Lepisosteus oculatus: one gene and its partners. The protein of the gene in region 4 interacts with the protein of the main gene of each other region in a pairwise test. Links are inferred from orthologs where the notes say so. Each region holds a gene or a part of one and is shown on either strand. Other genes may lie near its edges. The genes, in order: mad1l1, tmem79a, homeza and rnf8.

Region 1 (7,016 bases), on a different chromosome or scaffold from region 4:
TTCTTCAAAGTGCAGCAAGGCATGCATGGCAGAACGATTATATACATTTATATAGCAAAAACAATACTCTGTATTCCCCATCTCCAGTTCTTTGCATGGCTTGTTTCTGAACAATTTTTCATGTCATGGAGTCAGAGAAAAAGAAAACACAGCATGAAAGATAGACAACCTTTCTGTGAATTTCTACTTTCATTCTATTCAGACTCAGGTCCTACTGCCCATCTTCACGTAATTATCTTAAATATACAGCAGATTTTTGTTTTACAGGTGATTACACAGAGCAGTCCTTTTCTTAAAAGTAGAATTAGCAATAAAACAACTTGGACCCGAGTGTGAAATGACAGTATCTGAGACCACAGAACAAAAACCAGAAGATACAAAGCTGAACTTTGAGAGCGACCACCATGCAGAATTGTGTTTAAGACCCCCTGGCGGAATGAAACACAGAGATCAGAACTGCATCTTCAGGGCTCACCTCCAAGTCCCTGGCACTGGTGTGGGCTGCTTTTTCCAGCTCAATGCGGGCACGTTTGTGACTGAACTCCATCTGCGACTTCTCTTGGGCCATTTGTAAAAGATGGGTCTTGGAGAAGATTTTCTGAGCTTCCTCTTCCACCTAGAAATACATCGATAGTCACACAGCTGTTACAAGCTGTTAATATAACTGTGTGCACTGCTGTATCAGGTGATGGTGTTAGTGCCCACATCCCCAACACTGAGCCCTACAGCACAGGCCATGTGCTAGTTTTCTTGGATGCACTGTGCAACAGTCTTATACCTGGTCATCGGAGAGAGGTGGTGATGGCTGATGTGCCAAACTGAGTAGTGGTGTGGGATAAAGTCAGCTTTCTCCACCCTGCTTCATTCAGCGAATGGCTCGCTACCTGCCAGCGCACGGCCATGGAATTTCCACCCCGTTCCCCCTGCCTCAACCCCAGAGAGGAGCTGTTGTCTGCGTGGAGGTGAAAGGTTCATGATCACGGGCCACGTGATCAGATGTCTCTGCTGCACGCGTGAACGCCGGTTGTGGGGACATTACTGCAGTAGCTTGCAGGGGACGACAGCGTCGTGCCAGACTGTTGTTCTCTCGCTGTGGCCTGACTGGGAGTCGAGACCGGCCAACCAGTGAGATGTGTCCAGTTCAACGTTTGTGTTTATACTTTCGTTAAGTTTTCATTTGGTTGGACTCCTTGTCTTTGTGGATCTACTTGATTCAATCACGGAAACACTGTTTCCAATGTTACACTGTTTTCACTTTCTGTATGTGCATTAGTTTCATTTTACTTGAATGAAAACTTCTACCGTCCATGATACAAAGAAAATGCAAAATCCCGAGCCAGGGATTCTCCGGGACATTGGTTGACTTGACGCCGAATGAGAGGTTATAGTTTAATTAATGTCTCGATTAAGATTGAGACTGATCTGCTACTGAACTGGCTTATACTATATAGTACTTTCACAAAAATACAGTTTTATTAACTGCTTTTCGCAGTAACATATAGATTGCTCTTAATAGTGAGGCTGAAAATGTGGATTTTTAACAGCACTCAAGAGAATCCAAACAGCTCTCTTAACACCAGACACCAATTTGAAACTGGTATGAAGAACCTTCATACCAAATCTACATTAAATAATTTCCCCATGGCAAAGTAAGATAAATTAATTCCATTACTTACAATGCAGAGAAAGTCTTTACTGATGTAAAAATCAGTAATGTTTTTTTAAAAAAACAATCAATGTAACATACTGTCCAAAGGTGTGTTGATCTAACATTGTTACTAAAAAAAAAAACATTTCAGACCAAATAGTTAAATAATATTTGATTTCTTGAGAATCATGCATTTTAATTTTGTAATCGTGCACAATCTAATAAGCTCACTGTATGCATCTTGCATGGCTGAGCTCAAATGCTTATCTAGAGAACTGTACTCACCTTAAACTGGTAGTTGTACTGGAATTGCAGGTCACTTTTACTCGCGCTGGTTTCAGGCTGGCTCGTTGAAGCGTCATGTTGCGAGAGGAAACTCTCAAATGACTTTAAAGTGTTGAAGACGGTGGTATTGTCCTGCATGTTGTCCATTTTGAACTGGTTTTACTTTTTTCTTTAGAAAACAATCTGGAAGGCAAAGAAACGCACCTGAAAAGTGTCCGCCAAGCTCTCACCGCTACCGCTTGCAAAGCAAACAACCCTCAACAAAGTTTCAAAATGTTGTTTATGTTTATAAATCGTGTTATGACTGCTCCATTATGCTCAGTATCCTTTTTTTAATAAAAGCAGGAACAGATTTCCAAGCAATGTTTTCGTAGTATTGTCGAAGGTCATCATTAAGCTTTCCAAATGACTTCACTCGTGCAATAAAGTGGATTTTAACGGTTTAATATCTTAATGTTTGCGATAAAGGCACGTGAAAAGCAAGCTGAAGTTTGCATTTGCTTGGCCAGTGTGTTGCACACGAGTACTGTACACAAGAAAACTTAAACTATATATGCACAACTGTTTGGGTCAACCAAATTTCCAAAACATGCATCCATGTAATAAACCAAAATTTCAGCTGTCTAAGCACAACTCATATTACTTTACAAAAAAACACGACCATGTCAAAAACATGTAACATTTTTGAGAACACGCAATTTTCGATGATACCTTATTCCTTACTGCTTGGATCTCCCTCCTCCAACCCAGAACAGATCTACCTTCTCGCGAGAGTTCCTAGATGCTTGAGCGTAACGAATATAATAGCGGGGCTTAAAGGATATGATCGTTTACCGTAATACCTAGTCACCCTCACCATTTTTATAGGATTTCTGAAATTTGCAGTGGTTCAAATGTAATAAATGCTGCCCAGACCCTAAAACATGTATTTATTACTATTACTGGATGGCAGTACTCGGTTTATTTCTTCTTAGTTGGGGAAACATTATATATTAAAACAACAAAATACAAATGGGGAGTTTATAGCATGGATCTCCTTTTAGTCCATATCATTCTCCATTCACCAACTGCACAAATCTAATCCTTGTTTTATTTTTGAAATGTATAAAACTCTGCTCTTCACACACACACACAAACAAACACCATAAATCACAGGCCTGCAATACGTTACAGAAAGAAGTACGTACTGTAGTTTAATACAAAGGTCATGATGTCAAGTCCAGTGAAACCGAACACGTTTTTGTCACTTCAAATAAAATTACATTGCGTTAACAATAGGTTCATCATCTGTTTATAAAATAAAACCCAAGAAACCAAGATTTAAGGCTTTACAGTGTCTCGTGTTTAGGCCCTTACAGTGTGTCTGCAGCAATGAAATGTTAAACTCATGTTTGTTTGTTTGTTTTTCATTCTCAATTTTGGCAACGTCTCTTGCTGGCCTTGGGATAAAGTGCACATCATTTTGAAGTTTTTTTCCCAATTGTAATCTCACAAAACTCCAGTTTTTTAAACAATTGAAAAAACTGGAGGAAAATGCTAACAATCATTTGTCCTTGTAACTCTTGGCCAGGAAAAACAGCTCGGCGGACTCCTTCCTGCTGGCTTTAGGCTTTATGGTCCTGACTTCCTTGAAGGCCTGCGCCAGCTTCTTGTGGAGCTGATGGGCCAGTCCTCCGTCCCAGACTTTACACAGCAGAGTGCCTCCCGGACGCAGGACCCCCTCGGCCATGTCCACCAGGGAGAGACACATGCCGACCAGCCTCTCGTGGTCCAGCTCCCTGAAGCCGCTGGCGTTGGGCGCCATGTCGCTCAGGATGACGTCGGCCACGGAGGCCGGGAGAAGCTCCTGCAGGCGGGCAGGAGTGGCCGCGTCCGTCACGTCGCACGGGGAGAGGAAGTGCGCTCCGTCCAGGGGCGCGAGCCGCAGGAGGTCGACTCCGACGACAAAGCCCGCCGGCAATCCGGGATCTGAAACAAGGGAGAAGGCAGCACTACAAGCTGAACCAGTCTCATCCGTGTTCATGTACACAGAGCTTCTAATGCGGGGGTGGGCAACTCAAGTCCTGGGGGGCCGGTGTGTCTGGGTGCTTTCATTCCAAGCCAGCGCCTCACGAGCTAAACCAGGCGGTGACTAGCTACCTGCCTACACTGGGCCAACTGAACAGTTTCTCCCAGCTCGTCAGCTGCTGCGTCTTTGAAGAGCCCCACAAAACCTGCAGCGCCAGGACGGTCCAGTTTGGTGCTGACGTAACCGAGGTGCATGCTGGCTTCAAGGCCGTCTTAAGTGCTAAACTCCCATCTGCCCTGATCCTTATGGAAGCTGCCAAGCCCTAACCCCATCTCATCCAGTTCACCGAAACTACACAGGGTGTGCGCTTGTAATGTAAGACGATGTTGTGTTGGGCTGCAGTCAGACCCCAATTTAAAACACACCAAACATGCGCTCACCTGCCCCCGACGAGTTCACCCTCTCGACGGCGACCTGGCTCCACGCCCCCGGCGCTGCGCCGCAGTCAATGACGCGGAGCCCCGGCCTGAGGATGCGGTGCTGGTCGTCGATCTCCAGCAGCTTGAAGGCGCTCCGGCAGCGGTAGCTCTCCCGGCGGGCGGCCTTCACATACGGGTCGTTGATCTGCCTGGCGATCCATCGCTGCTCCGGAGCGCTCTTGCCTTTCGTGTTGTGTGGGCTCTTCCTCCAGCACCGAGCCGAGGCGTGCAGAGCCCTGCGCAGCATCCCTGGGAGAGGAAACACATCGCAACAAGTCCAAAACGCGCAGGGTCGCTGATCAAACTTTGTACGTATAGAGTGTACAATGCCGTGACTGTACGGTAAAGTTTCATACCACTGAGCTACACATCAACTCTTTATTCAAAGCAGGGCTGATTTCAGCCTTTTTTTCTATTGATCTACTTGATCAAAACAAATGGTTTTAATCCAAAAGGCTGAGGTCCATTCCTAATACGAACCTCAGCTTCATTTCTGCAAGACCCACTGAACCGACCTGTCATGTCAAACGAGTCCTAATTTGTTACTGAACCGCTTAAGTTTTAGAGGGTAGGACTAGCAGACCTCAGACACTTTCATTTTGAGGGGAAAATGCAATCACTTAATCTGAGATGCTAGTGGGTTACTAATTATTGGTTGCAAATTATATTACACTACAACCAATTCAGGAATAGCACCGGGCTGCATTGAGATTTTTGAATCCGTACAAAAGCGGTAGAACGAAGTTATGAATAACATCGATAATTAAAACTACATGAAGCCTTTACGTTAAAAGTTGCAAAATGTCACCTTTTCTCTGAAAGCACGTTTAAAAAGGGACCTTGATAGTACTCGTAAACATTAAGGATGAACACGCTTCCGTCACATATGACCTCCCGCACGTCCTCCCCGTGTTTCCAGTCGGACAGGTTTCAGGGTGGCACGCCTACAGTGAGCTGGGGAGTCATGTGTGTGGCTACCCGCTGGACTGACTTTCGAGGGAAGAGGCAGCTGTTGCAGAGTTACTGAATGTGCATCTGCTGCTATTGTTCACACATACTTTAGATGGTATCGTTCTTGGGTATGAGACTTGTTCTGTTTAATCAATTCACTTTTTTTTAGCCTTTAGGTCACTTTCAGATTGCTCATGCATGTCCATAGAAAATTATCTGACTATATGCAAGGATGTACTTGTATTATCCGGAGCTGGTGACGTCTATAGTAGTTAGGAAGGCAATTACTGTGACAAAAGAAGTTAACTGTATTGAGATGTGAATGAATGCGGTGTCGAGAAATGTACAGAGCAGGCTATGCAAATACAGCACAGTGACATTGTTCTTGTTACACTAAAACTTAATTAACGTTTTTCTGGGAATTTGTACGTTGTCTGGCCAATCTGTTTTCAGAGCAATTGTCCCGGCAATGATCACGGCACCTTACCGTACAAACTGTGAAAAATAATCAGTTTTGAGGCATAAAGTAGTGTGCTAAATAATATCACGCAATGCAGTATCTCACTGTTCAGAATCAAGTACATTCCATAGAAGTAATTTGAAAATGTCATATATACTGTATGGACATATATAACTTGGAGTAGTCTGAACTGTAGTGTTCAAATAAATTTTGAAGAATAAATGTGATAATATGGTATGCAAGTGTTAACTGTTGTTTTTAAAACAATTGTTTCAGGATTTCAGACCGCAGACCTGCAGCCGTCATAAAGCAATGGAACCGGCAGAGCTGGTGTCTTTCTGAACAGCTGAAGGGCTTCTGTCCGAGGGCTTGTGCCCTGAAACAAATGCCTTTTTTATGAACTTAAAGTTTGTGTCCGTGTGCACGAGCGCTTCCAAAATTAAGTCCCCAATTTGTCCATTTGCACACTGCGCAACGTCTGGGGGTCAGCGGCGTTCATACAGTAATCTTTCCACAGGTGTTTAGTCAGGTGCTTGACATGAGAGTGTGATCCTGGTCACTGTCTCTCCCGTGACATTAGAGCGCGGAGAGGGATTCAGTCGTGTGTGTGTCCTTCCCTGCAGCAGCGCAATGATCACTACCAAGCTGTTGACCCTGGTCATGGTGGTACAGCCTCAGCGGGTTCTCCTGGGCATGAAGAAGCGTGGTTTTGGCGCAGGGAAGTGGAACGGCTTTGGGGGCAAAGTTCAGCCGGGAGAGACAATCGAGCAAGCAGCGAAGCGGTGAGTCCAGTCACGAGGAAGCCTCATACCCCACAGAAGGTATTCAAATAAGCGAAACCCAAATATGGTAAACCCACAAACATTTCAGTTTAAGCTTAAGTTTATTTTTTTAAAATATGAACTATTTGAAATACAACAAAAGGTACATATGTTTTAGAAGTGTTTTTGGGGGGGGCGTAGGAATAAAACAGTGATCCCTCAGTGCAGAACTTATAGTTGAGCCACTAAATATTACGTACACTTAATTTGGTTCATTTGAATTCACGATTGGTAAAGCATCAGTAAACATTCATGATCTTAAATTTACCTTAAAATGTCTAATGAAATAATGCCCCACTAAAATGCCAGCAGAAGCCTGAATCAGATGGGTCGTGCTTGGTAGTGATAAAAACTACCAAAGACC
Region 2 (7,630 bases), on a different chromosome or scaffold from region 4:
GGTACAGACAGGAAGAGGGGGTCACCTGGCGATGGCGAACAGACCGGTGAGCAGCGGTACGAGCTTGAGGGTCTCCTGGCTCAGGTAGGTGGACAGCACGGCCAGGTTGAGGAAGAAGAGGAGGAAGAGCGAGAGGGAGTCCTGGACGAAGTGCCGGTGCACCCAGACTTCTCCTCGCTCCTGGCTCTGCGGCATCAGAGAGGCCCAGCACAGCCGGGACAGGCCCAGAACCAGCACGCCTGCGGAGACAGAACCGGGACAGACCCGTGAGCCCAGCACAGCCGGGACAGGCCCAGAACCAGCACGCCTGGGGAGACAGAACCGGGACAGACCCGTGAGCCCAGCACAGCCGGGACAGGCCCAGAACCAGCACGCCTGGGGAGACAGAACCGGGACAGAGACCCGTGAGCCCAGCAGGACGGAACCAGAGCAGAGACCCGTGCCGCTTCTGTCGCAGGAGGAGGAGGAGGGCGGGTGGGCGGGCGGGTTCTCTCTCACCCAGGACCACGGGCACGGTGGCGAAGGCGGCGCAGCGCAGGGTGTAGACCAGCCTCAGGGGGGCGCCGGGGAGCAGGGGGGCGTCAAACGGCAGGAACACAAACCCGCCCCACAGGAGGAGAGGGAAGATGAGGGCGGCAGCAACCAGAGAGGAGAGGGACTTCAGAGCATCGCGACCACGGCAACCGCAGCACCGACCACGGGCTGCAGAGAGAGGAGGCACAGGGTTCAAGCACAGGTCTGGACCGGGAGAGATAGGAGACACAGGGTTCGAGCACAGGTCTGGACCGGGAGACAGAGGAGACACAGGGTTCAAGCACAGGTCTGGACCGGGAGAGATAGGAGACACAGGGTTCGAGCACAGGTCTGGACCGGGAGACAGAGGAGACACAGGGTTCAAGCACAGGTCTGGACCGGGAGAGAGAGGAGACACAGGGTTCGAGCACAGGTCTGGACCGGGAGAGAGAGGAGACACAGGGGAAGGCACAGTGTAGACTGGAAGAGAGGGGAGACCTGGGGGAGGAGAGGGGAGACACAAGGGAAGGCACAGTGTGGACTGGAAGAGAGGGGCAGAGACGACTAAGGATTAGAGGTTTGTGGGGGGACGGGCTAGGGTGCCCCAGTTTGATGGAGAGAGTACTGGAGAGGGCGCCCCGAAGTTACCATGTGATGGACCGTCATCTTCCGGCCAGTACCCATCTGGGGGGGTCCCCTGGCGGTTCAGGAAGGGGCTCTTCTCGGGGTCCCCACCGTGAACACACAGCTCCTCCCTGTCCGCAGACTTCCTGTGCAGGCCGGACCTGGGGCCCAGGATCCGCACGCTGGGGCTGAACACCTGCGCCGCCTTCTCGGGCAGCGAGTTCACGAGGGGGTCCTCCTCCATCTCCGCCCCCGTCGCCCCCAGAACCCCGCTGCCCTTCTCGGCCTCTCGCTTCTCTGCTGACCACAGCAGGGTACTGGACTCTGTTAAAGCTGACCTTACCTCCTCCTCCTTCTCCTCCTCTCCCTGCTCCTCCTTCACTCCCACCTCCTCCTCTCCTACTTCCTTCTTCACTCCCCTCTCCTCCTCTCCCTTCCCCTCCTTCACTCCCACCTCCTCCTCTCCTACTTCCTTCTTCACTCCCCTCTCCTCCTCCCCCTCTCCCTTCCTGGTTCCCTCCTCCTCCTCCCCCTCCATCTCTTCCTTCTTCTCCGTCTCCTGCGCCCCCTCTCCCGTCAGGCCTGGTTTGAGGGGTACAGAGCTCAGCGAGCCATTTTCAAGAGGACGGTCCTTCCCCTCGTCCAAGAGCAGCTCCGATTCGGGGTTCGCGGTCATCCGACCGGGCATCCTGGGACTGGTCTCTGCTGCCTGTCCTGGGCTTCCTTCCACAGTTATTCCGAGGACTTTCCAGGACCCGGCAGGTATGTTTTCGACCCAACAGAATAAGGAACTAGGAAAACAAGTTGATACAAGAATTTGGAAAGAATTTGTTTGTGTTACTCAAACAAGCCGTTTGTACAAGCTAGCTGGAGACACTGCTGTCCCTCTCCTCTCACACTGCCCCTGAATTCACACACTGACACCCCCCTGACTGGACTGGAGACACTGCTGTCCCACTCCTCTCACACTGCCCCTGAATTCACACACCGACACACCCCTGACTGGACTGGAGACACTGCTGTCCCTCTCCTCTCACACTGCCCCTGAATTCACACACTGACACACCCCTGACTGGACTGGAGACACTGCTGTCCCTCTCTTCTCACACTGCCCCTGAATTCACACACTGACACACCCCTGACTGGACTGGAGACACTGCTGTCCCTCTCTTCTCACACTGCCCCTGAATTCACACACTGACACCCCCCTGACTGGACTGGAGACACTGCTAGAGACATGTTGTCAGGACACGAGTGGAAACTACAGGTAAGCCAGTTAAAACTGACAGAGAAGGTTTCTTCATACAGGGTGTTGTTAGTTATGCAGGTAAAGCCCCACCCAGTCATCAATCCTTCCCTTCGATTGGTCAGGTAACACGCCATTCATTCCAAAAGCCTTTTGTCATTGGCTGAACTCCAGTTGTTGTTTTTTTACCAAACGTTCGGAATGCGAGAGGGGGAAGTGGGAGCCTACAGGAAGCATTTGTTTATCAGAAGACCTTCTTTCAAAAAAAAAGTTATGTTATTTGGGGAGAAATGCGTGGAGATAAGTATTAGTGAGACGGGCATAGGCGTAGTGTGTCGTCTCCGATAGCCAAGTCACACTGAGCACTTTAGTCCAAACTCGGCAGCCAGTTCATGACGCTTCGAAACCATGTGGACATGTTTCATCAAACGTTCAACGCCCGCTCGCTCTACGTCCGGTGCTCTCGAGAAGACATTATAACGATTATAACGATTATAACGCCACTTACTCAGCGTGCCGCGAAGCCTCCGTGTGTCTCTCTCTCGCCGAGACGAGACGCAGGTGTGCCCAGGTGGAGCTGTTAAAGGCACAGGCTGCTCTTAAAGGAGAGGTCTGGAAGGAAAAGCGTCCCCTCACTGCCCCCGCAAAACAGAAAGAAACGTTAAGAGCAGAAGTGCCCCCTGGTGTCTGATCTGCCCGAGCGCCCATGTACCACCAGCCAGGTCCTCTGATTTTTATGAACAGCACAATTACTGATACTTCCTACCTGGCCTGGGGGTGATTTATAACTGTACTTGTAGTATTACTGATACTTCCGGCTGGGCTTGACGTTGGTTTATACTGTAAGGAGCTGTACTTGTACTGGTTTTTTTTTTCAGTCCTCAACTGCAAAAGACCTTCACAAAAATCCCAGTTGGGCATCATATCTTATTTAATTAAGAAAGTTAATCATCCAGGCGGATGCTGCACATTGGTGGTGGTGGAGGGGAGTCCCCATTACCTGTAAAGCGCTTTGAGCTTCTTCTTCTTCTTCTTTTTCACAGCCTCAGTCCCAGACTGTCCTGGGGTCAGCTGCTTTGGTTGCTCTTCTCCACTTGTCTCTGTCGAGCACATCTTCCTCACTCACTTCACATACCTCCATATCTTTTCTCACACAATCTATCCATCTCTTTCTAGGCCTGCCTCTTCCTCTGTTACCTTCCACCTCAAATTCCATTACCTCTTTGTTACTTCCTCAACGTCCCTCCTCATGATATGTCCATACCACCGTAACCTCGCCTCTCGCATCTTCTCAACCACATCCACCACCCTACATCGTCTACGGATTTCTTCATTTCTGATCTTATCCTTCATTGAAATCTGCAGAATCCATCTCAACATCCTCATTTCAGTTCTTCTCATCAAGTTCTCTTCCCTCTTTCCAACTGCCAAGCATTCAGCTCCATACAGTAGTACAGGTCTAATCACAGTCTTGTACATTTTGCACTTTAACTTTCTAGGAATTTTCCTGTCACAGATTATTCCAGTTATTTCTCTCCACTTGTTCCATCCAGCTTTCACTCTTTGTTTTACTGCCTCCAGTGTTTCTCCTCCCTTTACCAGTTTTGATCCAAGGTATTTAAAGCCATCAACTTGTTTCAGTTTTCCTCCATTTGTCTCCTCAACATTGGTCATAGTATCTCCTCTTCTCTCCATTACCATTATTTCAGATTTTTCTGCATTTTTCTGCATTCATTTTCAGTCCACCCTTTTCCAGACTCCTCTGCCATTTAAACACAAAGCTCCTGTAAAGCGCTTTGAGCAATTATTATTATTAAATATTAATTATTAGTCATTAGGTACATTGTTTAATTGCCTGCTCAGGTTGGAACTAAAACCAGAAGATGCCAACCAAGCTAGGAAGTGAGTTTGCGTCCCCTGGCTTAGAAAACAGTTCAGTCGCTCAGGGTTCTGTCTGGGGGGAGTTTGCATGTTGGTTTCCTCCAGGTGCTCCGTTTTTCCTCCCACAGTCCAAAGACATGCAGGTAGATTAATTGGCTTGTGGGAAAACTGTTCTTGGTGTGAATGTGTGTTTGTCTGTCTGCCTGCCTGGCCTGGTGTTCCATCCAGGGTGTGTGTGTGTGGGTGTGTGTCTGCCCTCTGATGGACTGGTGTCCCGTCCAGGGTGCACCCTGCCTAGCGCCTGTTGCTTGCTGGGATAGGCTCCAGCTCCACTGCATCCCTGAATTGGAATAAGTTGTTATAAGATGGAGGGATGGATGTATCATTGGTCAATGAAACATGGAGCTTTTGTCCTTGAGTTTTCTGACCTTTCGTTCCAGATCTTTTCTAAATAACTCCATTGAACAGGTTACCTGCTGCTGGTCGGAGTCAACTGGTTCCTGATATTAGAACTCTGTGATTCTAGGGCGACACGGAATACCTGTTGGACTGGGGTTCCTGCAGACCAGGGCTGGGAACCCCATCTGAGAGGTACAATACCCATAATCCCATCACATCCCATAACCCCTTTTCACTTCAGAGTCATGGTGACCAAGAGCCTGTCCCAGCAAGCACTGGGCACACCAATAATCAAACTATTAAAAAATAATCATTTCCTTACCCCGCCCTCCCATAAGTGCTGTTTGCAGATCTTTGGTAATTGAGTTTATTTATTGATACACGAGTGAAGTGTAGATCTGTTAACCCTGGTCTCCTGGCTCCAGTCTGGGCTGTACAGCCTGACCTCTCCGAAGCTCTCCCAGGATTCCCTTGGGGCAGCAGTGTCTCTCTCCCCCCCTGACCTGTGTGCAGGGGGGCTGCTGTGTGTCTCCCACATGGATGGGCAGTGAAGTGAGTCTCCACCTGTATGCAGGGCGCTATATGTAATTTTTCATCGGAATGAAAAAAGGTGCAGATCGAATTGTTTTTTCGCTAAAAACAAAATGTAGGGATTTGGAACACATTCTGTTTTAGAAATTCAGTGAATTTTACACGAAATCACTTTGAAACTATTCATAGTATTACAATATGATATTACTGTATTGACAGAGATAATTTCTTACCTTCGAGTCTTTTCCAAACACTGCAGTGATTTACAAAATTGACTACCTTTACTGTAAAAAAACAATGTGATAAAACAGCTTCTATACTAACTCATGTGCCGTATGTAAACATGTTCAGTATTATCTACTGTAGTCCACAACACAACTGGAGTGTGTACATTCGTGAACCCGCCCCTAATTTTGAACCAATCCGAGCTCCTGCTTACTCCTCTCCTCTGCCATCCAATTGGACAGCAGCTTCCTTCTCCGCTCCAATCAGAGAGCTCGCTGCTCCACGTGTGTTTCCCTGGTGCCGTGCAACCAAACCCGTTGAGCGACAGGAAAAACTAGAACATTCTGAAATACAACACTCTTAGCCAATCGCAATACGATGTGTTGCCCGTTAGCCAATCCCAGGGACTAAGACCTGTGCGTGGAGGTGGGGTCTTGTTTCGCAGCCTGGGGTTAGATTGAGAATCCTGTACTCACGGCCGGTGAGAGTTTACGCGAGTGTTCTGATATTATTTTATGAATTTTCCGAAGGAACATTTATATTTTATCCCCGTTAGACGGATGTTTGTAGGGCACAATGGCAAACGTGTGTCGCGAGGTTGTGACCCTGCAGCTGGGACATTTCTCAAACTATGTGGGGACCCACTGGTGGAATTTGCAGGTATTTAGTTAATTTAATATTTAATATGAACAAAATCAACATTAAGTTTATAGATGCGTAGTATTGTGTACAGGGTGACCACAGATTGAGAATATCCTGTCAGATTTGTATGGGCCGTGCCTGAGTCACCACTACGAGATGTCTAAATGTATATTGCATCAACTCTAAACTAGGTGCGTGTATATACAGCATATAAACAACTTGTACATTGAAATAGGTTTAGATATATCTGACCATTTCCTTTCAATTATTTAAATCCTGTTAATTAATTAGTAGTCTTACATTTTTTTGTGAAAGAAAGAGACAACTTCATGATGTTACGAATTGGAAAAGCAAACAGTTTGAAGTGCGACTTTAGTACTGGGCAGGAGAGTCTTAGCAAATCATAGCCCAGCAAGTTTTGAATTTCTAAATGAGGTGAAGAGGTTATGAATTTTCCTTTCCATAAAACCACATTTTCACATTAATTCTCCATCATTATTGTTCGTTTCAATTTAGTCCTTTATTTTACCAGCTAGGACAGTTGAAAACAAAGTTTCCCTTTTAGTTAAATTCTCACTGCCAGTCTGGGACAGACAGAGAGCTGTAAAGGAGCCAAGGTCTCACTGTGATCTGTGTCAGTGTTACAGATAGAGACACAGCCCTTCTAGAGTCAGGATATTAATCTCACTGCCAGTCTGGGACAGACAGAGAGCTGTAAAGGAGCCCCAGTCTCACTGTGATCTGTGTCATAAGCACTTGTTAGAGAGAATTAACCTGGGAGAGTATTGTAAGTGGCCCCAGGTTGTTTGAAAAAAATCGAACAAACTTAATGAAAATCTCTGTTCTTCTTCACCGCCCTGTCCAGGATGCTGCTCTGTGCTACGACCCGGATTCCCCCAGCCCCCCCAGCGAGTTGCTGAGTGATGTCCTATTCCGGGAGGGGGTCACACTGGGGGGACAGACCACCTACACCCCCCGCCTCATCACACTGGACCTCAAGGGTGGGCCTGATGCTCTGTGTGTGGCACTCTCAACTCTGCGATTCTTTTTTAAAGGAAGGGATATAAATGAAGCTGATCCACTCCAGGATTTACAGTGCTGTCAGTCAGACCCCCCCAGTCCACAGCAGTCTGATCCACTCCAGGTTTTACAGTGCTGTCAGACTCCCAGTGCACAGCAGTCAGATCCACTCCAGGTTTTACACTGGTGTCAGTCAGATTCCCAGTGCACAGCAGTCTGATCCACTCCAGGTTTTACAGTGCTGTCAGTCAGACTCCCAGTGCACAGCAGTCTGATCCACTCCAGGTTTTACAGTGCTGTCAGACTCCCAGTGCACAGCAGTCTGATCCACTCCAGGTTGTACAGTGCTGGCAGTCAGACTCCCAGTGCACAGCAGTCTGATCCACTGCAGGTCTTTAGTAGTTCTCCTACCTTCATTGTCTCTCTCTTCCGACAGGAAGCCTCAGTACCTTGAGGCAGGAAGGCAGCCTCTATGAGACAGGGAAAGAAGTCAGAACTTTCACCTGGTGAGTCACCTTCTCTCTTATTGTGTGTGTTACTAGTAGTGTG
Region 3 (7,557 bases), on a different chromosome or scaffold from region 4:
TATTTCAGCCGAAGGGATGGGGAGAAGGGAGGGGGGAAAAGATGTCTTGTTCTCTTCTGGTCTTCTCTGTCCAACAACAAGGAGGCACTGTGCTCAGCAAACAAACTCCCCCCCTCGCAATGGGATGTTCTGTTAAGTGATGACAAAAAGGCCGTTATGGTTTCCTATAGTCACTGACTGGACACTACAGTACATTAACACTGCACTGAGAGAGAGGGGTTCATACAGACACACTGACTGACTGGACACTCCAGTACATTAACACTGCACTGAGAGAGAGGGGTTAACACAGACACACTGACTGACTGGACACTCCAGTACATTAACACTGCACTGAGAGAGAGGGGTTAATACAGACACACTGACTGACTGGACACTCCAGTACATTAACACTGCACTGAGAGAGAGGGGTTCATACAGACACACTGACTGGACACTTCAGTACATTAACACTGCACTGAGAGAGAGGGGTTAATACAGACACACTAACTGGACACTTCAGTACATTAACACTGCACTGAGAGAGAGGGGTTAATACAGACACACTAACTGGACACTCCAGTACATTAACACTGCACTGAGAGAGAGGGGTTCATACAGACACACTGACTGACTGGACACTCCAGTACATTAACACTGCACTGAGAGAGAGGGGTTCATACAGACACACTGACTGACTGGACACTCCAGTACATTAACACTGCACTGAGAGAGAGGGGTTCATACAGACACCCTGACTGACTGGACACTCCAGTACATTAACACTGCACTGAGAGAGAGGGGTTCATACAGACACACTGACTGACTGGACACTCCAGTACATTAACACTGCACTGAGAGAGAGGGGTTCATACAGACACACTGACTGACTGGACACTCCAGTACATTAACACTGCACTGAGAGAGAGGGGTTCATACAGACACACTGACTGACTGGACACTCCAGTACATTAACACTGCACTGAGAGAGAGGGGTTCATACAGACACACTGACTGACTGGACACTCCAGTACATTAACACTGCACTGAGAGAGAGGGGTTCATACAGACACACTGACTGACTGGACACTCCAGTACATTAACACTGCACTGAGAGAGAGGGGTTCATACAGACACACTGACTGACTGGACACTCCAGTACATTAACACTGCACTGAGAGAGAGGGGTTCATACAGACACACTGACACTGGCGTTATTAATACAAAGTAAACACAGCAGTATTAAACATGAAGACACGCAGTAACCCCGAAAGCAAGACCGATACAAGTTGCAGTAAGGGATTAGTTATTAACTGAGATTATGATCAGAGCTGTGTCAGTGGTCGAGAGGGTACGTATGATAATGTTTCAACAAATTGTGGGTGCTGTGCCTGCAGGACTTGTAGGTCTCCTGAAAGCAACAACAGCATCACCTGAGGAGCTGCTATACTGGTCCACGAAGCCAATTATTAATAAGGAAGATGAGAGGAGGCTCTTCTTTACACAGACAGTGGTGGGGGTGGAGAACAAGCTGCCCAGCCCTGTTGTTGAAGCCGATACCCTGGCTTCTCTCCAGACACAGCTGGGTGAGACCCTCCAGTCAGGACAGGAGGCTCCTCTTTACACAGAGGGTGGTGGGGGTGGGGAACAAGCTGCCCAGCCCTGTTGTTGAAGCCGATACCCTGGCTTCTCTCCAGACACAGCTGGGTGAGACCCTCCAGTCAGGACAGGAGGCTCTTCTTTACACAGAGGGGGGTGGGGGACAAGCTGCCCAGCCATGTTGTTGAACTGGACACAGCTGTCTGAGACCCTCGGAACGACTAACTGGTAACTTTCTGATCGGCCGATCTCTTCGTCCACCTCACCAACAAGCCGTAGACCCGTACCCCTCCAAAAACAACATGTTTGTTCTCCCTCTGACGCAGGTTATCAGAAGGATACCGCCTCAAAGTCACGCTAGCGGAGCACGGCCGCGGGCGAAAGCAGTCACGGAATCCCCTCCCACGCACAGCTCACGGACACAAACACCCCCCCCAGCAGAAGCAGCTGTTTCCGCTGGGCCCCCGGAAGACGATTCACCCCGCGAGAGAGTTCCACGGCCGGGTGGGCACCGGGGCGGACAGCCCCTGCTCCGGACACGGGGGCGGGGGGAGGTGGACACACGGTCATCGGGCCACCATCTCACACACACACATACACTCGGCTCCGTCCCGCAGCCTCGCTCGCACTCGCCACGGCCACCCCCGGGGCGCCCCCAGCCCCCCCAGCCCGGACTGGCCCGGGGGTCCTACGGGGGGGGGGGCAGGTCAGCGAGAGGCCCCGTCTGTACAGCCCCTGCAAGCCCGCTCCCCCCGCGGCCACACAGACACGCCATCACATCGCCATCACGGCGCAGCACCCCCAAAACAACAACAACGACAACAGGCACCCCAGCCACCCCGGCGGGGCTCACTATTGTCCCGGCGCCGTGTGCGCGGACAGCGGGGCAGCGAGGCGGCGGAGCCGGACTCACGGGGAGGCTGAGGTCGCGGCGTCTCCGGCTCTCCCGGCCGTCTCCCCTCCGCCGGAGCCCCGCCGAGGAGAAGCCGCGTCTCCGCCGGGCGGTGCGGGGTCTGCGGGGGCCGGACAGCGGCTGGTGTCGCTCCGCTGCTCTTCCAAACACCGGAGACCGTCTGCGTGCGTGTCCGTCTCTCCGCCCCCCTCCGCTCCGGACTGCTGGCGTGTTTTTTCTTAAAGAAGAAAAAAAAAGTTAAATAAAAGTCCCGAGTTTAAACTCCAAAGCAGGCGGAGGCCGCCTGCGTTCTCGTTGTCGTGTTTCTGCCGAGGGGGGGAGGGGGGGTCGTGTTTTCGGCCGGGCGCTCGCTGCGTCCCTCTCTCTCCTGCTCGCCGTGTTTTTGTTCTGAGCCGCTACGCGAGGCCGGGCGGGAGCAGGAAACTCGGGCAGCTAGGCCTCGGTCTCCCGGGGTGACGGCGGGGGGCGGGGCCCGCTTGCCATTAAAGGCGTAGCGGCGCGGGGCAGCCGGGACTCCGCTCGCACCGACTAGTTGGGAGAAAGGGGGCGGAGCGAGCGGGGTCAGGGGGCGGGGTAACGATGGGAGTACGTGCTCCAGGTAACGTAGAGCGAATAGGGCAGTTGCAGAAGGTGATGGGAGGGGGGGGGGTTGCGCTGTGAGGGCCGCCATCTTATGAAGGTATTCCTGGAAGAGGTTTTGGTTTTAAAGAGAGAAGGAAAGATATAGCTTTATTGTCCACCCACAAGGGCGGCAGTTTGTCTCGGGCGTCACCGTACACAACGACACTCAACGTGAAATATGCAACCAACGCATATACACACATCCGTCTCGTATATTAAAGCGCATATTTCTGCCGGTTACGGATGGGGTACGTTTATTTTGGTTTCATTTAGGCTGTTAACTGTTTATCGCCGACCTCCTTGTACACCGGCCGCGGAATTCTCCTGTTGGAGCTGGGAAGTGCAGTCAAGCCAGGTCATGAAGCGCCGGGGGCCGGAGTTTACTCTGCTGTTTCTGAGCGGGAGGGAGTGTGACTCCGGAGAGGTCCGATTCCGAGCGGGCACGGCAGTGTAAACGCGCTGGGTCTTTCGTATTTAGCCAGGAGGGGGCGGTTATCGCCTCCACCCCCTCAGCTCCACCGGCTCGAGTCTAGATCAGGGTCCCCTTTGTGTGGAATCGCCGTGAGGTTTAATAATAATAATAATAATTGCTTACACTTATATAGCGCTTTTCCGGACACTCCACTCAAAGCGCTTTACAGGTAATGGGGATCCCTCCACCACCAGGTACCTTCTGTGTGGAGTCTGTGGGTCTGAGGTTCCTCCAGGTACCTTCTGTGTGGAGTCTGCGTGGTGTCTGTGGGTCTGAGGTTCCTCCAGGGACCTTCTGTGTGGAGTCTGCGTGGTGTCTGTGGGTCTGAGGTTTCAGGTGTCTTCTGTGTGGAGTCTGCGTGGTGTCTGCAGGTCTGAGGTTTCAGGTGTCTTCTGTGTGGAGTCTGCGTGGTGTCTGCAGGTCTGAGGTTCCTCCAGGTGTCTTCTGTGTGGAGTCTGCGTGGTGTCTGCAGGTCTGAGGTTCCTCCAGGTGTCTTCTGTGTGGAGTCTGCGTGGTGTCTGCGGGTCTGAGGTTCCTCCAGGGACCTTCTGTGTGGAGTCTGCGTGGTGTCTGTGGGTCTGAGGTTCCTCCAGGGACCTTCTGTGTGGAGTCTGCGTGGTGTCTGTGGGTCTGAGGTTTCAGGTGTCTTCTGTGTGGAGTCTGCGTGGTGTCTGCAGGTCTGAGGTTCCTCCAGGGACCTTCTGTGTGGAGTCTGCGTGGTGTCTGCAGGTCTGAGGTTTCAGGTGTCTTCTGTGTGGAGTCTGCGTGGTGTCTGCAGGTCTGAGGTTTCAGGTGTCTTCTGTGTGGAGTCTGCGTGGTGTCTGCGGGTCTGAGGTTCCTCCAGGTGTCTTCTGTGTGGAGTCTGCGTGGTGTCTGCAGGTCTGAGGTTCCTCCAGGTGTCTTCTGTGTGGAGTCTGCGTGGTGTCTGTGGGTCTGAGGTTTCAGGTGTCTTCTGTGTGGAGTCTGCGTGGTGTCTGTGGGTCTGAGGTTTCAGGTGTCTTCTGTGTGGAGTCTGCGTGGTGTCTGCAGGTCTGAGGTTCCTCCAGGTGTCTTCTGTGTGGAGTCTGCGTGGTGTCTGCGGGTCTGAGGTTTCAGGTGTCTTCTGTGTGGAGTCTGCGTGGTGTCTGCGGGTCTGAGGTTCCTCCAGGGACCTTCTGTGTGGAGTCTGCGTGGTGTCTGTGGGTCTGAGGTTCCTCCAGGTGTCTTCTGTGTGGAGTCTGCGTGGTGTCTGTGGGTCTGAGGTTTCAGGTGTCTTCTGTGTGGAGTCTGCGTGGTGTCTGCGGGTCTGAGGTTCCTCCAGGGACCTTCTGTGTGGAGTCTGCGTGGTGTCTGTGGGTCTGAGGTTTCAGGTGTCTTCTGTGTGGAGTCTGCGTGGTGTCTGCAGGTCTGAGGTTCCTCCAGGTGTCTTCTGTGTGGAGTCTGCGTGGTGTCTGCAGGTCTGAGGTTCCTCCAGGTGTCTTCTGTGTGGAGTCTGCGTGGTGTCTGCGGGTCTGAGGTTCCTCCAGGTGTCTTCTGTGTGGAGTCTGCGTGGTGTCTGCGGGTCTGAGGTTCCTCCAGGGACCTTCTGTGTGGAGTCTGCGTGGTGTCTGCGGGTCTGAGGTTCCTTCAGGTACCTTCTGTGTGGAACCCCCTGTGTCCACAAGAGCTCTCTCATCTGTGTTCAAGAGCTCCTCCTGTTCTGTGGCCAGGAGCTCTCACCTGTTTCCAGAACCTCTTGTCTGCGTTCAGGAGCTCTCACCTGTTTCCAGGACCTCTTGTCTGCGTTCAGGAGCTCTCGTCTGTGGCCAGGACCTCTTGTCTGCGTTCAGGAGCTCTCCCTGTGTTCAAGTTCAAGATGTGTATCTTTCGCAGACAGATGCCCATCCTCTCGTGTGCGTCTCAGGACTCCTGCCTGTCGGGCTCCCTCATCGCAGAGAGAGGGGCTCATCGCAGCCTGTCCTGACGCTGGACAGAAAGCTGATTTCGATGGGGTGTGTGCGTGTGTGATGAACACTCCTCCCTGGGTCTCTGGGAGCTGTTATTGATAATTATAATGATAATAATTGCTTACACTTATATAGCGCTTTTCTGGACACTCCACTCATAGCGCTTTACAGGCTAATGGGGATCCCCTCCACCCCCCCAGTGTGCAGCCCCACCTGGATGATCCGACGGCAACCATAGTGCGCCAGAGCGCTCACCACACATCAGCTGAACTCCTCAGAGAAGTTCACATTCATCCTGAAAGATGAGCTGGAGTGTTTGAAAGGACTGTGGAGAAGACACTGAAAGCACTAGTATAGTTCAGAGCAGCTCCACAGATCAAAGCTCTTAGAGCACTATTATATTGACACTTTAAAACCCGACAGAACTCTGATGTGGCCGTCACTGTACCTGTTTTTCATGATCAATTTCACCGTTATCCTCTTAAGGAAAGAAATGCAAAGCTCCTACTGTGATTACCGTGTAACACTTAATAAAACTGTAAAAAACACCACTCGCACATTTAGAGTGTAAAACTAGTGCAGTACAGCACACTTTACTTCAGCTTCTTTAATGCAAAGTATAATACATTACGTTTAGAACAATGCTGGATTAATGACAAATAAAATGCTGTTTATTAGTCACTGGAAGCCTTCAGGGTGAGCTGACCTGGTGTTGGACAGACAGGACAGGCAGAGTCATCGTACTGATGGACAGGGGTTCAGTGTGAAGGTCAGAGGTCAGCGGGGTGTGTGTGTGGGGTAGCTGACCTGGTGTTGGACAGATAGGACAGGCAGAGTCATCGTACTGATGGACAGGGGTTCAGTGTGAAGGTCAGAGGTTAGCGGGGTGTGTGTGTGGGGTAGCTGACCTGGTGTTGGACAGACAGGACAGGCAGAGTCATCGTACTGATGGACAGGGGTTCAGTGTGAAGGTCAGAGGTCAGCGGGGTGTGTGTGTGGGGTAGCTGACCTGGTGTTGGACAGACAGGACAGGCAGAGTCATCATACTGATGGACAGGGGGTCAGTGTGAGGGTCAGAGGTCAGCAGGGTGTGTGTGGGGTAGCTGACCTGGTGTTGGACAGACAGGACAGGCAGAGTCATCGTACTGATGGACAGGGGTTCAGTGTGAAGGTCAGAGGTCAGCGGGGTGTGTGTGTGGGGTAGCTGACCTGGTGTTGGACAGACAGGACAGGCAGAGTCATCGTACTGATGGACAGGGGTTCAGTGTGAAGGTCAGAGGTCAGTGGGGTGTGTGTGGGGTAGCTGACCTGGTGTTGGACAGATAGGACAGGCAGAGTCATCGTACTGATGGACAGGGGTTCAGTGTGAAGGTCAGAGGTCAGCAGGGTGTGTGTGGGGTAGCTGACCTGGTGTTGGACAGATAGGACAGGCAGAGTCATCGTACTGATGGACAGGGGTTCAGTGTGAAGGTCAGAGGTCAGCAGGGTGTGTGTGTGGGGTAGCTGACCTGGTGTTGGACAGACAGGACAGGCAGAGTCATCGTACTGATGGACAGGGGGTCAGTGTGAAGGTCAGAGGTCAGCGGGGTGTGTGTGTGGGGTAGCTGACCTGGTGTTGGGCAGACAGGACAGGCAGAGTCATCGTACTGATGGACAGGGGGTCAGTGTGGGGGTCAGAGGTCATCGTACTGATGGACAGGGGGTCAGTGTGAGGGTCAGAGGTCATCGTGCTGATGGACAGGGGGTCAGTGTGAGGGTCAGAGGTCATTGTGCCGATGGACAGGGGATCACTGTGTAGGATCAGTGGGGTTACTGGGTCAGAACCGTCCGTGGAGCAGAGTGAGAACAAACTTGGGAAGACGCAGGAAAGAAGGGATGAAAGAGGACAGCCAGGAGAGGTAGGGCACTTGGGAGACGAGAAAACTGACGGACATGTTGTCAAACACACTGCGCCCTGAGAAACACAGAGAGAGAGAGAGAGAGACGTTAATGATACAGACACACTGAGAGAAACGACACTAGTCTTCTGTGTCTTACTGATAATCCTA
Region 4 (7,882 bases):
ACTGAGGCATAAGCTGTAGCTGTAGTGTTGGCTGGGTCTACGTGTTTCATGGGGTTTGTCCAGCTTCCAGTCTACCTCTTGCTGATGGCGATGGTCACAAACAATAACTGTTGCTGTTGATGAATAGAATTGTCAGTATCCGACTAAAAATTGGAGAACTTGATCAATCCATCAAGCTTCAAAGAGATATACGTCTCCAAGCATTTGCTTCTTTCTTTACACAAATGTGTTGCTGTCCGTTCTGTCACATTAACACCAATTTTGCTAGAGGCGCCAAATGGCCTCCTCTTGTCTGTAACCTCTTCTAACATTTCGATACATATTACATTAATTGCTTTATTATATTCTTAATGGCGTCTACAGGAACAAAAAAAAAACACTGCAATTTGATCCTAACAGAAATATACAGCAGGTATTTTTGTAGATATATTTAGGTATATATTAATATGTAGAAATATTCTGTATTTCAAAATTCTACAGCTTGGATTATATGGATAATTTTGTTTCTGTCTTGGATTCAGATCGGTGAACAAATTATTCATATTGTAAGGCAACAGAAACACATCGTCATTAATCGCATTCAAGAAAATAAAATCTCTTTTTAAATGGTTTTAAAATGATCAAGGCTTTATATAAATGTTATTTTTGCGTCTCGACTAGACTACTGTATTTAACTAGGCATTTATAGTAACTGTTTATTAACGGTTAATGTAAGGGTTAGCAGATTTTAGATCACTTGATTTAAGTTTCAATAAGTTATATGAACATTTTAAACTGTTAATCTCTAAGAACCATTTTTACCCTGAATTTAATGCTTAGGAAAGGAGGCAGTGTTGAAAGGGGGAGTCTATTTCAGAAACTGGTCTACTCCTCTGCACAGTGGGGACTTCATCTTTTTTTGTGAATTCAATTCACAAGTGGAATATTAGTCTAAAACAAGGCTCATACTTATCTTGCGATGCCTGATGCGACAAACTCTATGATGTCCAGTGATTTATGAAAACAATACTTCAGAGCATTACGATTTATCACTGTAAAGTGTGTATATGACAACATTTTTTTCATTTGGTCTTTTTCATAACATATCTGTACCTATCTGAAAAAATGCTACAGGAGGGTTTATGGAATCCAGCGCTAGCTTTAGGTCACTTGCTATGCAAGGAAACACCTCTAAGATTTTTCTACAATTCTACAATTTGCAGAACAATAACCTGATTAAATACTGAACATGTACATCATTTTATTAATGTTCTTATTAATTCATAAATGCACGTACAAACTGCATTTCATAATACTAGAGATCATATTACATATGCAGCAAAACCAACCCATACTAATATTTAGTTATAGGTCAACTATAACTAAATATTATTTTTAGTGTGGCGGGGCAGTGGCCTTGTGGTTAAGGATCTGTGCCTGTGGCTGGAAGGTTGCCGGTTCGTATCCCGTGGCCGGCAGAGGAATCCGTCTCCATTGGGCCCCTGAGCAAGGCCTTTAACCCCAACTGCTCCAGGAGTGCCGTATAAATGTCTGACCCCGGGCTCTGACCCCAAGCCTCTTTCCCTGTCTGTGTGTCTGATGGAGAGCAAGTTGGGGTATGCAAAAAGACAAATTCCTATTACAAGAAACTGTATATAGCCAATAAAGTGATCTTATCTGTTATCTTATCTATTCACAAACCACATCTCAGGAATGTTCGGCCAACATTCACAGTGTCTTCAGGCAGAATAACAACTATGGGACCATTAGCAGTCTACCAGAAATTGAAACACAAAATCCAAAACCTATGCAAATAATACCCAACATAGTATGAAACTGAAATAAAGGCTCTACCTTATTATCTGTCACTGTCCAATGTCCCTCTTCATTTTGTTTGAATTTGCAGTGGTTTCTGGAAATCATTAAAGGACAGCTCCTTGACAGGGTTTGATAAGTGACATCAAAGCTTCGCCCAAGTGTCACCTAAGACAAGAAGAGGCATTATTAAAAATCAAGGTTTACTACTGAGGGCTTCTAGGCAAAGAATTACTACTGTTCTCCTGAACTTTAAAATGTAGCTTGACTTTACAACTTGACAAGCACTGAGGAACTTCAGATAAGATTTCTTTACTAGTGCAGTTGCAAAATACATGCGCCACTTGAAGGGAGTTTATTTTTGTTTGAAAGCTTAAATCATCTAAATCCGATTATTGCAACGTGCTTTTTAAAATTGTACCAATAGTATGCAGGCGATTAACGAAGACAAATGTTATTTTGATCCTTTAAACGATGAAGAGGGTGGGCTTTCAGATAGGTATAACAAAATAAACAAATTATTTATCTGTTTGTATTTTTAAACATGTAAATGTATGTGCAAGGAATAGTCGCTAGTGTTTCAATTACACTCGGATCCAGGTAGATGTGTAAACCGGGGAAACAGGAGTTAGGGGACTTCACCAATTCCACATTTTCATCACTTTCAGGTGACGAGTTCCGTTCTGCAGTGATAAACACCCCAGAATACAAACATGGATATGCTTCTGAAAAAAATATTATTGCATAACTAAAAAAACACCTTCTATTGCGATCCCATGTAACCCCATCCCTCCGCAATCATCGTCATTCGGCACAAAACACACATGAGATGTATTAAAAAGTAAAAGACTTGAAAACAGAAGCACGCAGCTCCGGTGATTAGGATCATATTTGCAACTTTTTACGACTCAAAATACAATTAAGACATTTTTGCAGGTACGCCACTTAGCTAAAAGTGTGAAGGGGGAGGGGTGTTTAGTACTGAAAGAGTAAATGAGAGGTAAGAGAACAAGACCTCTTCTTTCTCGGGCAGACGGAGCCACTCAGCCCTTTTTCCGACTCTTCTCAGGCACCAAATTTCATCTTTCGCGGCATCGTCTTCCTCGCCTGAAACCGCTCCAGACTCTGCTTCCTCTGCCATTATCCTCAGCCCATGACACTACCTCAATAACACAAAAAGTTAAACGCCCATAATTCCACGCTCTCTTGTGGTATTCACGTTCCTGCGCGCTTTTCCGGCGTGAAGCGCTGAACACCATAGAGGTTCTAAAAAAAAGGAGCGTTTCGTCACGTATCTGAAGGAATATCAGCGCCATCTTGGTGGGGTGGAGGACAAAAAAGATCTAACTCAGAATTCATTACATTATTATTCATTACACTTTAAAACATGATCATTTCTCTTTGTTAATCAAGTATTTGTGTTAATATACTCTAAAAAATATAATGTGCAAATATACAAAGCTAATTTATTATGTAACCCACACCATTTCCATTACTGAATATTTTCTATCAAAAGGAGGAGACAATGGGCATACATTATGAGATAACTTTTTATCAATATTGGCGGTAAATAGGTTCTGTATATATTTAAAAGTGCAGAGCGAATCTAACAATTAAACTGAAAATGAATGAAAAATACTGTTGGCTATCACTGGTCTCTCTATTTCTCATTTTGCAAGATTTTTTCTGTTTTTCGGAATTGTGCTCCTTGGAACATATTTGTACAGAAGGAATGGTAATCCATTATTTAGCCACATACATTAGTAGTTAGAGAACAAACAGTAAAATGTAGAAAGGGGAACAGAAGTCATCAGGAGGAGCAGGGTTTCCTTTCTGTAAGCACACAATAGCTACACCTACGTACCTGTAATCTGTTTTAAATATGCACATAAAGAAATGTGTGCGTTCTCTGAAACAGTCGACACATCTTTGTGTTTTTTACAATGTAAATGATGGGACTCTTTCAGCAAGAGAAATGTAATAAATGAGATTAGGGACAAACACTAGTTATGTATATGTGCTACTGAATGTGCATTTCTAGGCAATTTATCTGCTTCTGTTGGTAGCTGTGGATGGCTAAGGGAACAGTGGACAAAAATAGCAAAACAACGGAGATGTTTTCTTTGATGATTGTGAGAATAGAAAGGATGTTGATATCCGCTCTCAAGACTGACTTACAAAGTCTTTGAAACAATAAGAAAAATAGATTTTTGTAAGGCAGAACATGCTGTAGAGGAGGTATGGAGTGCATCAGCAGGTTTGTAATACACAGAAACCTTCAGTTCCAGGTGGCTAATATACCTACTTTTTGTATGTGCAGAAAAAGAAGAGGAGTGAAAGAGATGGATGGAAGTGGGTGAAGTGATGTAAAATTGCTGTAGTAGATTGCTAGAGCAGGTAGCAGCACCAACAAATTCATCATTGTATCAACGTCACCTAAGAAGTATCTTGCTTGTCCACAATCTCGTTTCATAGATCTCTTGCAGACAGCACTGCCATTAACACTGAAGAACTGGCGATGTGTTTCAGGCAGAACATGTGAACAGTAAGGATCAAAGGTTTCACCAAGACAACAGTTCCCTGATATACTGCACCTCTCTCAGACATTATTACATTGAACTTTGTCTTTTTCACATCTTCTGCCAGCTTGCAATCCTTGAAATCTCTCCGTTCATTTACAGATTTCTGCCTTAAACATTGCTCCACCGAATTCCATGTCTTTGGAGGACCCAGATTCAGATTCAAAGAACTTTATTGGCTTGACTGATGAATTATACAGTAGTGTTGCCAAAGCAGAAACAATGAACAAATCATTTACATTTACAGTAAAAAAAAAACATACTTTATTATTGGACATTGAAAGACATCATATAAAACTTTATTCTGAGACAGGCTCACTATATGTTCCTCAGGCTGTGAAAGGACAACACTGGGCTGCCGGTTCTGGGGAGTTTCCTCCCCGCTCCAACAACAGGATTGGAAACCATCCCGATTCTGGAAGGAGTGAGGCACCTTTTTTCATCTGCAGTGCCCATCCTTACATACCCTCTATGTGTTCTCCTTAAAGCCCCCTTTTCTTGTATCCCTTTTCTCTCCATCCTTCTTTCACATACTCACAGAAGAATCCACAGCTGAAATGTTGCATTTTTAATATTTTTTTCTTTCTACTTCCAGCATGGAATTAACCTCTCCTTGTTCCTGCTCTTCAGCTCCCACACTCGAACCTCTTAAACATACCATATTTGTATTTCAAATTTATATAATATTATAGTATATAGTATAGTATTTAATATTTAATATTTTCAATCCAGTTTTCCTTCTTTTTCATCGAGCAATATTAAGACACATTTGTGAAAGACTACAGTTGATTAATGAAGTAGACTTTTCCGTTTTGCGATTACATTACTAAGAACTACAGAAATGCTTCTTTCAAGAAAACACTAAATTTAACTCCACCTTCTGACAAATCCTGTGAATCAGTCCTTGAGTTAGAAAAAGTTAGAGTTAGTGGAGACAAAAATAAGGAGAGTGTTTCTTTGTTCTATATGAGTATTTGCACCTAAAAGGTATAATAAACAAAATATATAATTTAGATGTTTAACTACCACAGCTTTTGAAATCAAAGACTTCTGCAAAGAATGTTTATATTTTGTGATGCAATTGTATTGTTAATTATCAGGTGTATTATCAATATTGAAAACTGCACAGTGTAATTGTTATTAATTTATTTAATTTGACACTTTAAAAACTGATTTAAAATATCATAACACTCTAACAACTTTTTGATCATTTCCAGAAAAAGTGATGATGGCTTGTTTGGGTGAGATTTAAATGTGAACAAAAAAGGTGTGGTTGCTTATACTTCCATTAACAATGTTTGTACTATAAAATTTTGTGTGCAATAAACAATGTAAGTCAGATAAGTCACTTTGACCAAATAACACATTGTTATTTTAGCCCTGCAAATGAATACGGTTTGGCATTGTCAGCACATTTAATTCCTTTTGTTTTTTCTGTTGCTTCCTCGAATATAGAGGTCATTGATCTAGCTTTCCTCGTGTGTGTGGGAATTTCACATCGTAGCACAGATGCTTTTTGTACTTTGCACAACCCTCTGTCCTCTCAAAGGCACCTTTTTATTTTGTTTGGGGTTTTGATATGCACATAACAATTAGAGAAAATAAATCCAAGCCCCTTGTTGACTGTGACTAACCTTAATCTGAGTTCTTAATATCTAAAGAAAATGTCAGGCGTTACACGAGTCAAACATAGTTTAAGCTTCAATACATGGTTTGGAAGACTGATATTCATTTATTGTCCCACGGGTGTAAATTTCAGTCTCTTTTTGCCATGCATCTGCATCCATCCCTCAAGCCTCTCCACAATAGAGATGTGGAGTTTGAACATAAACTCAGAATGACAGAGTTGCACAAAAGGAGACAAAACAGATGGGGATGATAAAGTTCCACATCACTAGAATGGGATCTATTGTCTGTAATACAGTATATTGAACAGGCTTCTTGGAAAGGAAAGCAACAACTAAAACTGCTAAAGATTTTGAAGTGAACGTTCTCAGGAGCAACTGAAGCCCTGAAGCTTTTGTCTTTCTTTCCATATAGTGTTTCTTTCTGAAATATTCCTTAAATTCATTTAAGGCTTACATTTCTTAGTAATCTGAGAATGCCGTCACCAAAATATTAGTTTCCAGCTACCTGCAGATGAAAATCATACACTTTCATACTTTGCAGGGTTTTGTTAATTTAAGAATGAAATATAATGTATTTGTGCAGTCACAGATGTGCACAAAGAATAATGTTACAGTAGTTTGCAGTTCTGAGTCTCATTAGAGGAAACCTTCTAATGTACATACTTGCTTTTGAGTAATGGTGCCAATACAGAAAAGAAAAAGAGAAAAAACAATCATGGTAAAATACAAGAAAATGAATAGAAATTTAGCAGTTCCAGGAATTAATTACACTTTGGAATTAAACAAGCTTGCCAGATTTCTTATCAATCTTTGATGCTTTCATTTTTAAAATCTTCTGTATTTTAGTTACATTACCTTATGAATTTTGCTACTTAAAATCTCAGTAGATGTCTTGCACATACTGTATTTTACACACACAGAAAGTGGTTTGCATTCTGTAACCCTGGGGTGACGATTCAAGATAAGAGAGTCTATATACAGTATATGGCAATACATAGATATGTCATTAAAAAAAAAAGAAGGTAACACAAGCCTTGTTTACCCACTGTTACCGTGTCATACAGCTGTCAAGAAAATGTTTTATAATGGTACCGTTTATGTTGAAACAGTACAATTATAAAGACAGGCAAGCAATGCAAAATAAACGTTTACTGGCAAATTCAACATACGCCTTTAAAACTTTAGCTTCAGGGTCTTTATATACAGTACAATGAAATCTGCAAACTAATTTGATGAATTACTGCTCCCCTGAAAGGAAGAGTAATTTAAGATTTAATCCACACAGGCATTTAGGATTAACAGAAAAAAAAAAAAGATGTTAATTCAGAAATCCATTTTAATCTTCTTAACCTTAACCTTTCATAAAATTGGCTTTTCCATGTATTGTTATCCATTCGGCCAACAGCTGTGTCAGAACTAACTTAGACGATGTAAATATTTCATACACATCTCAGAAACTTCGGGTAAAGAAATTAAATTTGAACACCAAGAAGAGTGGTATAATAAAAGGTTGCTCCATAAACAAATTACTTACGAATAAAAGTGTATTGGTTTATTGTGCCATTAAAATATAAAAATCAATACAATAAAAATGACTTAATATTTTTCCAGAACTGATGAAGCTTTAAAAAAATAAAACATTAAAATGGGCAACCCTCAACCCAATGAAATTACCCTGCTTTTCACATTCTCCAACATGAACACAGACCTCTCTTCTGAGCATGTCAGTGAAGCCCTCTCGAAGCACAAAATCACAGTGCTTACATCTGCTCCATTTTGTGCTTGTATTGACGTGTACTGTATATGTTTGTCTCCAATTCAAGGACAGCATCAAAAGACAAAATCTCATTAGTCAGGTCATCCAAATGCAGTTTAAAACTG

The links.
Region 1: the proteins of rnf8 (region 4) and mad1l1 interact in binary tests that used the Homo sapiens proteins (3 or more experiments, as listed by UniProt). The two-hybrid records come from large-scale screens. The link is inferred for Lepisosteus oculatus from reciprocal best matches to the Homo sapiens genes RNF8 and MAD1L1.
Region 2: the proteins of rnf8 (region 4) and tmem79a interact in binary tests that used the Homo sapiens proteins (3 or more experiments, as listed by UniProt). The two-hybrid records come from large-scale screens. The link is inferred for Lepisosteus oculatus from reciprocal best matches to the Homo sapiens genes RNF8 and TMEM79.
Region 3: the proteins of rnf8 (region 4) and homeza interact in binary tests that used the Homo sapiens proteins (3 or more experiments, as listed by UniProt). The two-hybrid records come from large-scale screens. The link is inferred for Lepisosteus oculatus from reciprocal best matches to the Homo sapiens genes RNF8 and HOMEZ.

Annotation. Positions count from the first base shown.
Region 1 is NC_090714.1:1,968,462-1,975,477, forward strand, and holds the start of mad1l1 (mitotic spindle assembly checkpoint protein MAD1), read right to left. Parts: upstream 3,011-7,016; 5' UTR 2,645-3,010; intron 2,117-2,644; 5' UTR 2,081-2,116; coding exon 1,934-2,080; intron 617-1,933; coding exon 476-616; intron 1-475. Other genes in the region: mrm2 (rRNA methyltransferase 2, mitochondrial), read right to left, coding at 3,477-3,901, 4,382-4,667; nudt1 (oxidized purine nucleoside triphosphate hydrolase), read left to right, coding at 6,462-6,613. UniProt on the Homo sapiens protein: Component of the spindle-assembly checkpoint that prevents the onset of anaphase until all chromosomes are properly aligned at the metaphase plate.
Region 2 is NC_090722.1:6,315,346-6,322,975, forward strand, and holds the start of tmem79a (transmembrane protein 79), read right to left. Parts: upstream 3,001-7,630; 5' UTR 2,892-3,000; intron 1,929-2,891; 5' UTR 1,826-1,928; coding exon 1,162-1,825; intron 703-1,161; coding exon 499-702; intron 240-498; coding exon 26-239; intron 1-25. Other genes in the region: msto1 (protein misato homolog 1), read left to right, coding at 5,996-6,079, 6,927-7,062, 7,518-7,587.
Region 3 is NC_090699.1:13,251,768-13,259,324, reverse strand, and holds the start of homeza (homeobox and leucine zipper encoding a), read right to left. Parts: upstream 3,011-7,557; 5' UTR 2,492-3,010; intron 130-2,491; 5' UTR 1-129. Other genes in the region: dhrs1 (dehydrogenase/reductase SDR family member 1), read right to left, coding at 7,327-7,463. UniProt on the Homo sapiens protein: May function as a transcriptional regulator.
Region 4 is NC_090697.1:43,193,747-43,201,628, reverse strand, and holds the start of rnf8 (E3 ubiquitin-protein ligase rnf8), read right to left. Parts: upstream 3,017-7,882; 5' UTR 2,936-3,016; coding exon 2,810-2,935; intron 1,963-2,809; coding exon 1,834-1,962; intron 1-1,833. UniProt on the Homo sapiens protein: E3 ubiquitin-protein ligase that plays a key role in DNA damage signaling via 2 distinct roles: by mediating the 'Lys-63'-linked ubiquitination of histones H2A and H2AX and promoting the recruitment of DNA repair proteins at double-strand breaks (DSBs) sites, and by catalyzing 'Lys-48'-linked ubiquitination to remove target proteins from DNA damage sites.